Caenorhabditis elegans: one gene and its partner. The protein of the gene in region 2 interacts with the protein of the main gene of each other region in a pairwise test. Each region holds a gene or a part of one and is shown on either strand. Other genes may lie near its edges.

Evidence for each region. Proteins that work in one complex are often made in the same cells at the same time.
Region 1: the proteins of pix-1 (region 2) and pak-1 interact in a two-hybrid assay, tested with the Caenorhabditis elegans proteins (one study listed by BioGRID).

Annotation. Positions count from the first base shown.
Region 1 is NC_003284.9:6,043,779-6,050,474, forward strand, and holds pak-1 (Serine/threonine-protein kinase pak-1), read right to left. Parts: upstream 4,827-6,696; 5' UTR 4,821-4,826; coding exon 4,740-4,820; intron 4,581-4,739; coding exon 4,502-4,580; intron 4,454-4,501; coding exon 4,347-4,453; intron 3,799-4,346; coding exon 3,651-3,798; intron 3,603-3,650; coding exon 3,388-3,602; intron 3,344-3,387; coding exon 3,251-3,343; exon of another isoform or gene 3,102-3,250; intron 2,985-3,101; coding exon 2,417-2,984; intron 2,367-2,416; coding exon 2,293-2,366; intron 2,239-2,292; coding exon 2,116-2,238; intron 1,504-2,115; coding exon 1,432-1,503; intron 1,275-1,431; coding exon 1,116-1,274; 3' UTR 531-1,115; downstream 1-530. UniProt on the Caenorhabditis elegans protein: Required for hypodermal cell fusion, together with cdc-42 and ced-10, leading to embryonic body elongation, which involves dramatic cytoskeletal reorganization.
Region 2 is NC_003284.9:13,725,277-13,733,295, reverse strand, and holds the start of pix-1 (SH3 domain-containing protein), read right to left. Parts: upstream 6,004-8,019; 5' UTR 5,995-6,003; coding exon 5,923-5,994; intron 5,813-5,922; coding exon 5,686-5,812; intron 5,642-5,685; coding exon 5,597-5,641; intron 5,545-5,596; coding exon 5,409-5,544; intron 5,016-5,408; coding exon 4,920-5,015; intron 4,876-4,919; coding exon 4,753-4,875; intron 4,699-4,752; coding exon 4,569-4,698; intron 4,326-4,568; coding exon 4,266-4,325; intron 4,178-4,265; coding exon 4,023-4,177; intron 3,976-4,022; coding exon 3,845-3,975; intron 3,779-3,844; coding exon 3,505-3,778; coding exon of another isoform or gene 3,501-3,504; intron 3,399-3,500; exon of another isoform or gene 3,310-3,398; intron 2,946-3,309; exon of another isoform or gene 2,856-2,945; intron 2,539-2,855; exon of another isoform or gene 2,429-2,538; intron 1,986-2,428; coding exon 1,873-1,985; intron 1,800-1,872; coding exon 1,523-1,799; intron 140-1,522; coding exon 64-139; intron 1-63. Other genes in the region: K11E4.6 (G_PROTEIN_RECEP_F1_2 domain-containing protein), read right to left, coding at 7,293-7,460, 7,507-7,690, 7,739-7,938.

The DNA of each region.
Region 1 (6,696 bases), 7.7 Mb from region 2:
ATAAGAAATATGAAAAAAGTGGCATTATAGCACTATGAAACATTTGTAAGCTCCTGAAACTTTCAATCACTATTATGGTGAAAAATATAGTTCCAGAATACTCACAGGGATTATTCACATATTCAACTTGTTATGTGACTTGATTTTTTAAGTTTTGCTAAAATATGTTGTGCGTGTTCTTGAAAACCTTTAAAATTATCAATAATCAGCCTGACAACATTATCAGCCTCTGGAGTAACTTTTGTGTCCTTTAGCACAGTTGCTCTCAACAAAGTTCAGATATACCTAAATTGTGGTGGTGGGAGTTGAGTTGTGCTGCTGCAATTACTAGAATAACTATTTCTAGAATAAAATATATAGTCTAAACATAATCATTCAAATGAACTATTTATCATTTCTAATTTTTGAGGTAAACTACCTTATACCATGTACCTGGTCAGGAATAATAATAAATAATTTTTCAAAAGAAAATAGTACAATTTCCTTGAACAAAATTTGACTATTTTGAAAACTTTTCTGATTCTATAAGTAAATTCATCTCTCTTTTATTAAACATGATCAATTGTTTCAAACGTCATGAGACAAAATTTAAGATTTTGACCTTATGGCCGATTTTTAAATTGGAAACCACATGAAAACAGAGTTTCAATAGTTCCCACCTACAGACACTTGAAAAAGAAATAGGGAAATTTGGGCAAAGCTGGTTAACTGTAGATTTCCGTTCGAACGACACAAATGCAAGAAACCGAATGAAAAGAAGACAAAGTGAAGACAAAAAACTTACATAAATAATTGAAGTGTGTCGTCTGATTGGGAACGCTCAACAACAAGAAAAAAGAGATAGTCCAAATTGTGCATTGCGAGAAGAGATAAAGAGGGGGAAGATGTGAAATAATGAAGGGGCTTGAATTTTTACTCGTGATCGATTCCAGAAAACATTACACAAATTACTAAGGTGTGACTTTTTTGTTGGGAAACGGTAAGTTGGGCTCAAAGTAGATAGTTAGAAATGACTTGAGATGGAGAGAAAAGAAAACAGTTTCAAAGTAAGTACGACTTGAGATTTGAGAAGAACAAGAAATACACGTCGTGTATTGAGAATACAATCATCATAATTATGAGTTGCTAGCTTCGGCGATGCTCTTCTTCGCCGCAACGATTAAGTAGTACAGTGAAGCAAGCGGTTTGGCGCATCGGAGGAATGGATGCGTAAGGAGTTGGCTTGCCGACCATCGATTTTCAACTTGTACTTCCAACGCAGAGTCGACAAAGTCCTGGAAATTGGGACAGAATGGGAGAAATTGATACTGTACTGAAAGTAAAGTAAAACTGCGGTAGCAGTTGAGTCATCTTTTGTACATTTGTGACTAACTGTTAACAAATATTTTTTTTATCAAATCTTCTGTTTCGAAAGTTCTCGAGTTCTCTTACCTTGAACAACAAAGTCATGGAATCTCTTCCAGGGAAGTCGGGTTTGCCATTTGTAGCAATGAGATAGATAGCCTGAAAAAAAATATTTTTAAGATCAATATTGATTGATGAGAAATTTTAAGCTAAAATTATAAAACCTAAGTATAGCTGAAACAACTTTAACTTTAACTTTCTCGTCATTTTACAGCAACTTCTCAACAACGTCTCAATCTTCTCAACTTAAGCGATTTTTCAACAAAGTTTACCCAGCTTTCGGTAGTTCTCAATGCACATCTGTATCTTGCGGTGGGGGTCATCCCTAACTTTTACCAACTTTACCCAACTATTGCAACTTTTGAGATTGGTTGCTAAAGTTAGCTGAGAAGTTACGGAAAAATGTAAAGTTTCTGCTAAATTTTTTCTTAGGCGCCTGTTCAATAACATGACCTCAACCTGAACCAAATTATTTTCTGATCGTTATGGGCAAAACTGGGGTTGCTATTCTTACTAGGGAATAGTGGCCAATTAGATTTTTTTGAAATTCATTAAGCAACAAATTTATCGCTGTAACAACAAATTTCCATTTCTCATTCACACTCTGCGAGCACAAGTGTTATTGAAAGGAATCATATATTCAGATTCATGTTTTTTTTTTCAATTATCAAGCGTTGTCTTCTTAAATTCAAAAAAGCAAATATTTCATACCCTGAGTGGATTTTCATTCAAATATGGCGGTTCTCCTTCGACCATCTCAATCGCCATGATTCCCAAGGACCACACATCAACCTTGGGTCCGTATTGTTTGCGGGTCACCACTTCCGGCGCCATCTGCAATTGTCAAACATTAATTTCCTATTCGCTTTTTCAATTTCCATCACTCACCCAGTATGGAGTTCCGACCATTGTCGTGCGTTTTCTTTGCTCCGGCGAGAGCTGAGCACAGAATCCAAAGTCGGCTGAAATTCACAGAAGTAGGTTGCAAAAGCATTAAAAATTATAATCTTACTCAATTTCACCGAACCATCCATTCCCAAAAGAATATTGTCAGATTTAATATCTCTGTGAATGACGTGGCGGCTGTGGAGGAATTCAAGCGCTTGAAGAACTTCTCTGCAAACAGCTGCAATAATTCCATCCTCCATCTGGCACTCCGTGACAACATCAGTCAATGATCCACCGGCAAGATACTCCATCACTACCCATAATTCATCGCACACCAAATACGAATCCAAATAATTTACAATATTTGCATGCTTATTCTCACGCATCACCAAAATCTCATTAATGATCAATTCCTTCTTTGGTTGATCCTTCAGGTTCATCTGCTTGATAGCCACCTCCGCTTCGGTACTAATTTCAATAGCGGTGTACACAGAACCAGATGCACCTGAGCCGATTTTATCAACTTTTCTATATTTTCGATCTGGATTTCCGATAGACACAATGGTACGGAGCTTAGTCAGCACTTCAGCGTCAGTCATCTTTTTCTTAGCTTTTTGACCTCTGGCCTGTACACCAAATTGTCCTTTTGAAAGGTCTGGAATTTTTTCTTCCTCCTCTTTCGGTTTTGTGTACTGAAAATATACTTATATGTTATAGAGAACTTGGGAAAAATTCGGTACTTGTGTATTACATGCCCTCATTTTGAAATTGAATTAAATTTTCATTCATTTCTCCATATAATTTAAACGTGATATACATTTTTCCTCTCCAGGCTTAGAAAGATTATTTCCTAAACCTAGAAATAAAAAATGTGGTACACGTTTTTATTGTTTTTAACTTAAAAAAATACTCTAAAACTAAGGGCATGTAATACACAAGTACCAAAAATTCTACTCACAATACTCAACGTCCTTGCCGGCCTATCAGGGATAGCGGGAGGAACAATATCAGCAGGAGTTTCACCATGGGGGACCGGTGGCGGTGCATAACTCTGAAGCAATCAATATGAACTTCAAGATTATTCTTCCCACTTACCGGTGGCATACTCGATCTATTCTCATTTACACTAAACGTCGTCGGAGGAACTCCTTGCTTGCTGTTATACCCCGCACTACTTGTACTGGTTGTCATTGGATTCATCTTTCTTGGATCCTGAATTTTATTGCCATGATACGGCAGGGATGATGTGCTATATGGTTGCGGTTTCAGTCCGTATGATGGCGTCCGAGAAGGTGCGTCATCTATAAACACTGTAGAAGAATGAGCTCCATTAGCAAGACTGACTACGGGTTACTTACTCATATCGTACTGCAACCACTTCTGGCCGCTGCTTTCGCCTTGTGTGTAGTATTTGAGCGCGTCCAACACTGCCTGAGGATTCTGTTGCTGCTCTTGTTTTGAGATCTGTGAGTCTGTGAGAAGACGTGCCCATGCTTCAGGCATTCCCTGAAAATTTATATTGTTGATAAGGAGCAAAAGTTTCTGAGAAAAGTTTATAAATAAGATTCTACAGTAGTTTCTCAAGTCTATTCGACAAAACAGACCTCTTCATACTAAAAAAATTGGGACAATTTCATAGGTCTTTAGAAGAAACTATCTTTGGTTGAATACATGTTCGTGATAATTGGCTTCACTTAAATTTTTCTCGTATGGATTTGTTTTCTTAAAACGTCTCAAAAACGCAAGCTTTATTAACACTAACCATGGTTTCAAGAATAACACGTTTTTAGAAGATAATGCACTGAATTAACGGTTGCAAAATATTATTATAAATTGAGATTTGTTTATAATGATTTTTTGACTGAGGGAAAAAGTAAAAGTAGTAGTTTTTAGTTTTTAGCTTACTATTAGCATTCACGTTAATCTGGTACGATTAGCGGTTGCGACCGGTGTCAGAATGACAGCTGTATCACTCGTTCATCATTGGAAAATAATCTTGCAAGTAACGCAAGAGTGGGAAAACTGCTACAAAAACTTTTTGAAAAAATACTGACCGTAAATTCGCCGGTTTTTGGGTCATATCCGACATGAATTGTGTGTTCGAAATTGCTCGGTCGAGAGATCACTGGTTTTTCTGACGCTTCCTTTTTGTCTTTGTTCTCTGAAAAAAACAGGAAAATCAGGAATGGTTACAAGAGCAATATATTACTTTTCATGAACGGGTTAGGCATCGTCTTCTTTTTCTTGGTTGCTTCTGGCTCTTTGGGCAATGGCTTCAATCCGACGACCTGAAAAATTGAGTTAGTCAAGACATGGAGAATGGAAAAAAGAGAAATAGAGATGGGTGGGAGAGGGGCAAGCAACACATGCATCATCTGATTTGGAAGAAGAACCTTCGAAAGATTGTCGCCCATCTTTGGGGAGGAGTGGAGGGACGAGTTAATTACCTGATTCTCCCTCGTTGCCGAGCTGCTGAAACGAATTGGTGGTGCTGGTGGTTTCTCATCATACGATGAGAAAGCTTTCATTTTGGCAAGCCTGGAAAATTGAAACTGTTGGAAAAAGAAGACACAAGCATCAAACCAAAAAAGAATGAAGGAATACAGTATGCAATGTAAAACTGAAAAAGGAAAACAATAATTAGGAGGAATTTTCGTTGTCAAGTGAAATCGAAACTGTTGGAAAAATAGGAAAATTGGAACCAATATTCATGTTTTGTTGAGTCAAAAAAACATAGAAAAACGATCACAATAAAGAATCAGAAAAAGAAAGAACAAATTGCTGACCGCCCCCTTATAAAAAAATTGTTGGACTATGACTAACAAAAGAGGAAATTGATAGGAGCGGGCAGGGAAATGGATGCACAACACATGGTGTAAAGAGGACATTGACCCAGTGCTATGAGTAATCTTGGACCGAAAAAGCATGGCCCTTTCGCCTTTCGAGGTCGTCTATTGGATTGCTTTTCTATATTTTTTTAGTAATCTCAGGGTAGGAGTTATGGAAAATGTGGGACCCAGAATTTGACCTTTTCTTCGGAGTTCTCATTTGCATTATTGCTTCAAAGAGCCTATCTGCAACCAACGTCTGACGTGAGTTTGACCCGAAAAAGATAGATGGCTTTTTGGTTTTCAAAACGAAAGATTTCAAAGTTTAGGAGATGATGGATGGTGAATAAACTGGGCCAGAGGAAGAAGAAGGAATATTTTTCAAAGGAGAAAAAGAAGAGACGGGAATCTTTTTTAAAGTGTGATGATATGAGTCATTCATGTTTCACTTCATTTTATCGCCCACCACCGTGTGTTCGCGTACTTGTTTCCCGCTTGTCATCCAAGTGGCAATCAGCCGGATAATGTTCTAGAAGTGTGAAGCCGAAAAGAGTAGAAACTGTGAAACGAGGTTCGGAGTGAGTGACAATGTTGAGAACTAGTTTAGGAAATTAGAAAGTGAAAGCCGAAAAAAAGCTGAAAAGTTTGCATTCATACTAACGGTGAATGATGATACTTTTGGTCTAATACTATTCTCGATTAAAGGAGGGGTATCGGTTTTGGGTTTTTACTTGTAAGCACTCAAAATGTTCATAAAGGAACAAATTTAATAATGAGACCTCATAAAAATCATAGGGGGTTGATTGTGGCCATTTTCAATTACGTATGGGCTTTAAATGTACATTCATTAACAAAATAATGTAAGAAAATCACCAATATGCAATAAAAACATTCTAATCTTCAAAATAAATTTTCCAACAGCTGAGACATGAAAAAATAGCCAATTTTAATTAAAATTAGGTGTTTTTAAAATTTCAGACCGCCATAAAAAATTGTTGAACATTTTTTGAGAATCCTCATTACATAATCTGTTAATTTGGGAATATTTACAATCTAGACCTGCAAAAACCCAAAGGAAAATCACAAAACCGAAAGAAAAAAAAAAAAGAAAAATGAGAAACAAAATCTAGGTATCTAAGATTTTATTACACTGTCGATAAGAAATCCAATCTCATTTTGCACAATGTAGAAAAAAAACAGTTCGAAACCTGGACTGTTTGCTAGAAATGGAGAATGGCACTGTGTTTGTTGAACGCGCGCCATTTTCTAGTGTTATCAATTGAATGGAGGAAACAGAGAAAGATAACTAGTACGGTGGGTCGCGGATGATGCGGCCAAGGCAATTGATAAAGAGCTGCGGAGGGGCAAAACGGACGGATGAGGGGAGGATGTCGTTGGAGATAAAATCAATCGATAGCGGTCAAATGAAGAAGAACACACACAACCAGACATACGCACACACACATATACACGACAGGAAGGGGTGAAGAGGGAGTAAGAGATGTGAGTAAGAGAGATAGAACAACTTGGACAACCACCTAACATCTCGACCTCTCGACACTTATCATTTGGAGCT
Region 2 (8,019 bases):
CTGGAAAAATGAAATTATTGGTGCTAGATGTGACAGACCAGAAGAGAAGAATTTTTCACTCACTTTTGCTAGTTTTTGAAATTCGGTCTGAAGGAACGAAAGTTGATCTTTGATGGCGTACACAGCATCCACAATACTTCTGAAAAAAAAAGAAGAGGTGACAAATGAGCAATGAAACGGAAATCTAGATAGACGAAGAGAGAGCAAGTCGGAGGAATAGATATTGTCGTTGGAGCAAGAGCGAATTGACCATTGGGAAATACTGGTCACTTATTCAAGTTCAAACTAAATACATCCGATGTGCTCAAGGAGTACGACGAATGAAAATGACAGATTTATAGACGATGTCTAACTAAGTTCGATGTACATAAAGTTTTAAAGATAAATTTGAAATGTTTTCTAAATGCACGAATCTTTTTATGTTCGTTGAAGAATAGCTTATAAATTTATTTAAATTACACACTTGTGAAGGGAAATTTGAAATAAAGATTGTTATGGTTTTCACTTAAAGGTCGAAAAAGGTCGAAAACATGACAAAACAAGCTATCCTACTGAAAGTTATCTAAAAAACAACTCACGTCCTGTTTTTCATCAGACAACAATTTCCGATGAACGGCTATAATACTATAATACCAAATAATATCAGTAAACAAGGAAACTACAAAAAATTGTCTCTACAAAAATTATCCCCTCTTCATCTTGTTATCTTTGGGGATACTTGTTTTTCCTTGTCAGCTTATTACTTTTCTTTAAAAGCAGTACGAAAAATAATAACTGAAAATGGACGATATGCAAAACAGACAAAAGAAGAAAAAGAAGAAGCAAACATGACTAGATGAAAACAATCATTATTTACTGGTGATCAAAAATTATATTTTTACAGAAAGTAAATGTTTGATCTCTTTTTGGCTTCGAAATGAAGGGCCTTGTTAGGAATATCACTATTGGCACGTTGTGCAAGGCTGTCCGATTACGGTTTGATCTACAAAATATGGGGGATTTTTGTTGCTAAAAATGTGACGTCAGCACGTTCTTAACCATGCGAAATCAGTTGAGAACTCATTCAGTTTTAAATACACAGTGGAAAACGTTTTGGCCGGTTTTGAATTGAGAACTAAAAAATTGTTCAAAGCTGAGCCACGTGCCCAAATTACTCTACTTGGGAATCAACACTGGACATATTTGAAAAAAAAAAACAGAAATTTTAAAAGAACCTTAGAAAAATCAACTTCTTTACTAAAAAAACATCAATTTGGGGGGGGGGGGGGATTCCAATTTTGCAAAGTTTCTAGATATTTCAGGTTTGCTGAAGTTAGTTTTTCTTATCAATCAATTATCGATTTTCCTATTCGTCCGTTATTTTCCCACCCAATTTTTTCATATACGCCACCCTAATATCTATGATTCAGCAAGAGAAGAGGAAACGAAAAGGTTAAATTTTTTTACAAATTGTGTACAATCTTGACCCTAGAAAAACTGAACTGGACTCTTCTAAGGTCTCATCGTTCAAAAAAAAACTTACTTCTCTTGCAAAACAACTTCATCTCCAATCATCTCCTCCATCAGAATCTTCTCATCTTCTGCAACAATCAAATGTGGTTGTTGATAACTTTCATTTGCATGGAAGTCCGACTGTCCGCCACCAGTTTCCACACAGTATCCTTCCAAAATTCGAAGTGTCTCAAACTCAATCTCCTCATCACGAGCCGCGTCTTTTCGAAGTCGAATGTTACGATCACCTCGTTTGCCGGCGTTCCCGCTTAGGAAAAACGATGGGAACTGGGAGAATTGCAGGTTATCTGAAAAAGATTTTTGTTAGTTGATAATCATAATCACGACAGAGAAAACAATAAATAACAAAATATCTCCTACCTGCAGTATTCCTTGAATTGCGACTGCTTGTTGGCAGCTCAAATCCTTCAGGGAGCACCATTCCGAGTTCATGATCGAACTTCATATTTCCCAAGTTTAAACTGTCATCAAAGCTGAAAATTTCAAAATTTAGGTCTCGTTCCATGTTTTATTTGTTTTTTATCATTATTTTTTATATTGTCCACACAAAAAACTTTTCACCCTAATTTCTCCTATCTCAATAGCCATTGTATCTGTTACGAACTATTCTTCGTGATCTATTGAGTCCGAAATTTCACATGCGACAGTTAGAAAGTCTTCGTGTTTTGATCCGTGAAGAACACACAATTTCTTGTGTTGCCTAAATTGGTGAGCGTTAATGTTGCCAAGTCTTGTTATCCAAAATCGAGGGATCGAAAAACATAGAGATTTTTGGTGAGAAGAGATTTGTCCATCTAATACATAAATACCAATTAATCTAAGTAGTAATTTACATCAAATTTTTCGCTTCATACTCTATCCCATCCCATCAAAATCGTATTTGCAATATCTTTTTGCATACATTTGTCTAGAGGACAAATGCAAAAAAAGGTAAGCCCAATGCGGGGCTCGAACCCGCGACAACCAGATTAAGAGTCTGGTGCTCTACCGACTGAGCTAACCGGGCGGCGATAGGAACCGAGGCGCGTGTAATTTAAAAAGTGAAAATGTCAGGCGCACTTTGTGGCTGTCAGGAAGTGTCTCGCACTTTTTAGTGTAATAGTGTGTTGAAATTTGTTAGGTCGTCGGTCGTTGCCAACACTGTTAAAATAAACAAACCGGCAAAATTGATTTCTCGCGACATTGAAAATTAATTGAATAGCGATACTTTCAAAAAGTGTATAGGATTTAATAAGAAAATTCCTTTAATGTTGAAAAAATATTCCACCTAGAAACTTCGCACCCCAATTTAGAAAAGTGAGTAAATTTTATAGTAAAGTTTTTTTAATGATCATTTGAGATAGACAAAAGCGTAAGCCCAATGCGGGGCTCGAACCCGCGACAACCAGATTAAGAGTCTGGTGCTCTACCGACTGAGCTAACCGGGCGGCAAAAGTAGATGTGGTGCGACCTTTCAAATAGAAATATGTCACGTTTTTCAAGGACAGTAATGTGATTGACGCCACTTGTTCGTCTCGGTATGTGGTATGTACACTTTCACTGAGAAAAAACTGCGTAGCGTGTTTGAACAGATTTCAAAAATTATGTTTTTTTAAATCTGTGCATAAACGCCACGCTGTTTTTTTTCAATACAGTGTTTAATATTCAAAAAAAATTTTTTTTAATTTTTTTCCGTTTTGGTACTACTTTTGAAGTTTTGAGAATAATACAAACTGGTATCACGAATTTAATCTCAAAATTTGGCAAATCATGGAATTTCTTTAAATACTTGTAATAGGAAAACCAATCGCAACGAACAAAAAACTAAGCCCAATGCGGGGCTCGAACCCGCGAGAACCAGATTAAGAGTCTGGTGCTCTACCGACTGAGCTAACCGGGCGGCGAAAAGAAATATAACTTAATCGAAAATAATTGAGGGTTAAACGTTGCGAAGACATTTTTGATAATTGTCTGTTCATTCCAATTTTACACGGTTAACATGAAAACACTCACTTCTTCGAGCTTTTTCTTTTGTTCATCATACTATACTGTTGATCCGAGTTTCCTGGGGGATGAAGTGGGGGTTTTGCGACCAGAGGAGTCTCTGCTCCTTGAGTCTGTGATTGATTCATTGTATCGTTAGCATTTTTGGAAGGTCTCCTCAAGATAGTTGTCGTCGGAGTGATGATTGCCACGTTTTCAGCTTTCGCCAAAGCAACAAGGAATCTCTCCACCTCACCCCCGGTTGAAACCATCGTTAGAGTGAATTCTCCAGTGTTGGGGCGATCTAGAAAAACTTGGGTTACTAATTTGTTTTTTTTTTTAATTTTAATTTTTTATCCGAATATTTTACCAAATGAAATTTCAGTAGCTTCCTTTTTCCGAACAATAAAACCGGACACTGTAAACTTCTCCTTAATGTCGTATGTCATATCCTTGGTGACTTCGAAAAACATAATGTATTTAGTGAACAATGCCACGAATCTGAAATCACTTCTAAATTTGAACAGGTAAAATTTTCGGCAACTCACCGATCCACTGCATCCGCTTTCTTGTATTCCACATTTGCAACACCCACATAGAGAATAGATCCTCGTTCTGACGCTGAAACCACCTTGTCCACTTTTGACACAAACAAGAAGTCGAGTTGGGCTTCTTTCTGCTTACGAAGGGTTTCACACAAATCCTAAAAATAGTTTGATTTTAAAACTTGTTGATCCTAATTCTTGTGAGTCAGTTAGATTTGTGTTTCTAATATTTTTAAAACAACGCACCTTTGTTTCCCGAAAAACTGCCGATCCACGTTGTAAATCTCCACGGTCCGGATGATTCGCCTGAAAATTTTTTTGATGATGATCTCATTGACTCAAAATGATATAAAAATTATTATGCATTAACAACGTTTGTTCACATGAGTAGACTTGATAATTTAACATAAAAAAATTATCATAATAAAATTTTCACAAAAATGATGTATTTTAATTAAACAACTGTGCTTTCTCTATGAAAAAAAATTCCAGAGTTTAATGAATCGATTGACCTATGTTTTTTTTTCTCATTTAGATTCAAATACTCACCGGAACAATTCGCTCAAGCTCCTGGAGCAAGTTGTAGTACCTCTCGACGTGCCGGAGTGGCTCACTGAGTCCTAACACCAATTCCTTGTACTCCCGATCCTGCGACTTTACCACCTTTTCCAACTCCTTCCTGAAAACGCGAAACAATACATTCGATACATTCTCTAGCTCTGTCAAAACTTACTGTTTCTTCTTGAGAACTTCGACAGCGTCTGGATGATTGTCAGCATAACTCATTAGTGCCGTTCTGAGCTCAAGAGCAGCATTCATGAACATTCCACCGACTCTCATTTTTGGAAGCTCCTCACTGAAATAAGAAAGTTGAAGAAGGTTGGAGAAATTAAAACTCACTTTTGCTCACGCTCCAGTTGTTCAAAAAGATCACGTTTCAGAGTGTAAATTACTTCGAAATTCCCAACCAACGTACAGTATTCTGGAGCCGTCAAGCTGAAAATTGTCAAAAATGTATTATTGTCGTACCCAAAAATGAAAATCCACCGGAAATGCAATGGAACTTGATGTTTTTCTCAATGTAAATCTCAAAGTAAATTGTAAATAAATATGAATAATTTAGGTAATAATTTAGGTATACTTTTTTAAAGCTTTAGCTAGACTCAATTTTTTTTTGAAAAATGGGACCTGTGACTGTATTTTGAAACAGTGAGCTACTCGCCCCACTTTTTAAGATACTTTTTTTCATAGCGCAGAGGTGCCCATCATTCCAAATTTCAAGTTATCAATTTTTAGAATCTGGATTGATCAACAAAAAAAGCAATAAGAAAAATCCGCAATGAATTAAATTCACATTTTGAAAGTTAAAAAAAACATTTTAAAACTCACATTTTAGATGCCCCAATTGGAATCAATAGAGATTGCAACGTTTTGAGCAAGCTTTGCATGTACTCCTTTTCCGATTCAATATAACTTTTGAGCACAAGGTCTCGATAATCTGGTTGAGCTCCGACGGATACCACTTCTGAATTTTTAAATTTGAATTGTCTCAACGAGTAAATCTTCATGAGATATACCTTTTGCAGTTGCATTTGGGACGGATCGAGATCGCTGGAGTTTGTCTGCAATTTGTGGGTATTAGCTCGAATTTTCCGATTCAAGTTACCTTTTTCTGTGATGAGAGTTACATAGGCACACGGAAACCATCCGGTCACTCCTTCATGTGTTCCTTCCCACCATCCGCCTTCTTGCTGCTGTGTTATTGTGATGATGTCATCCTTGTCGAAACTTAGCTGAAAATTCGTGGAATGATACTTTTGTCAAAAAGTAATTTAAGTATGTACTATTTTTTAAATTAAAAAAAAATTTCACAAGTTTGAATGTGTGGGAAACAAAACCTCACCTCATCGTTATTTGAACCTTCGAATTGAAATTTCGCTCGAGCCGATAACGGAGAACCCGAACCAGGTTCCATTTTCTGAAAAAATACTGTATTCGGTGAACATATTCGATAAATTTTTAACAAAAAAAATTGAGAAAAATTCAAAATCAATAAATTCTCAAATAACACATTTTTAGTAATTAATAACCCTGTGGAGTTTAAAAATACTGTCGATGGAATCGATAGAACGGGTGAACACTGAGTAAGAAATGCAAACGCGCTCCATCGCACTCTCTGGGTCTCTTTTGCGGGGTGTATCTCTCGTCTTTTCAACCCGTATAGTGGCGGCCCCTCAACGGACTTACGGTGATAAATAACATGTGTTGACCCTTTCTCTTCACATCTCACGAACAAAGTGCTCTTTTTGATGCTCTTTTGAACATTGTTTTGTGTAGAGATGAATTTTTATTTTATAAGAAAGAGATTTATGATGTAAATTTGGAAAGTAACTAAATTCAAGGAAGGAAAACTTCGAAATGCCGGTAAAACTCATTATAATAGCATATTTATCAAATTTGATATCAAATACATTTCAATTTTTTAGAAACAAAACTATAATTTTTTGCATTTTTTCTTATTTTTCGACTGCTCGTTTCCCTTTTTAGAAGTTTTAAAGAATATCCCCAAAAAATTTGAAGTAGGTATAAACATTATTTTTGCGGTGGAACCCATCTCAATGAATCCATGCCACTCCAATTGTAACATTCAAAAAAATTTCAATACTAAGCTATCTTTAAAATTCCACAAAAAACCTAATCAATTTAAGATTTTTCAAATGATGTTAGAGTAAGACAAGAGGATGGCAGACATAGTCGTCTGTGATTGAAAAAGTGAAAACAGAAAACGTGTTCCGATCATATCAGATCGAAACCTTATCATGTTATATCTTTTAACCGAACCCACAAAACTGAACAATTTGTTTGAAAATGATTATAGGACAAGATGTAACAACGGAAGTATTCTGGCTTAGCTATTTTCTGAAAATTGCTACAAAACCACGTATTTGTTGCTTTTATTCAACCACATATTCAAATACATACATACCTATTTAAATTATTTTAAAGAACAGCTTTAGTTTTTCTTTTTTTTCAACAAAAAAAAAAACAAATCCATATACGCGCTCTATGATATAAAAATTGAGAAAATGCCCTATTTAATAGCCCTAAAAACAACAATCCAACAAATAATAGAACACTTTTTATATAAAATATGCAGAATAAGAAATTAAAAAAATATATATTCATTAATTAAATTTATACAATTAAAAAAAAACGATGACCCGAATTTACATTATTCACACAATTTCTAGTCACAAAATATTTATGATAAATTCATTTTCTCTCGGAAATAACGCTCCATTGCCGCTGATATAGATTGAAATAAGTTTGCGATACTCCTTTCCCATTTTGGTTCAGCTCTCGGAGTTGTCTTCTCTGGAACTCGTTCCTGGTGGTCACCAAAATTGTCATAGAAAGTAGCAATGACACGTAAGGAAATATCTGAAATCTCAATTTTGAAATGCTTTACCAGATAGTAATAACTTACAAATGTGTTAATCGCGATAAATTTATAATTTGTGAGACTAAGAGAGTCTCGGAATGCTCTTACTACCATGGCAATTAAAATATAGGCAGAAACAAAGACAGTATTCAACAAGACCATTGGAAAGAGAGCTCTTAACACTACCAAGTTCTCATGTTGCTGATACTTTTTGTTAAGCCCGGAGGATCTGATCAAAGATATATGTAGTTGATTATTTCACATTTACATTACTTACAATATTTTTCGTTTGTTATTTTGGTATAAAGCTAGAAAAACGGCCAATATAAAAATGTCAACAACAAGTATTCCCAGGAACACGATATACATTCTTTCTCCAATTGATGCAGATGTAGAGTATACAAGGCAATGGGTCATGGGCTCCAATGGATCTTCATTCCACAAAGTCCATTCAATTGCAAGAATTGCGGAGAGAATCTGGAAAAAAAAAACGGGAAACCTATTTATTGAGAAATTGTATCGAAAATTTATGGTACATACACGTAAACTTCAGAAATT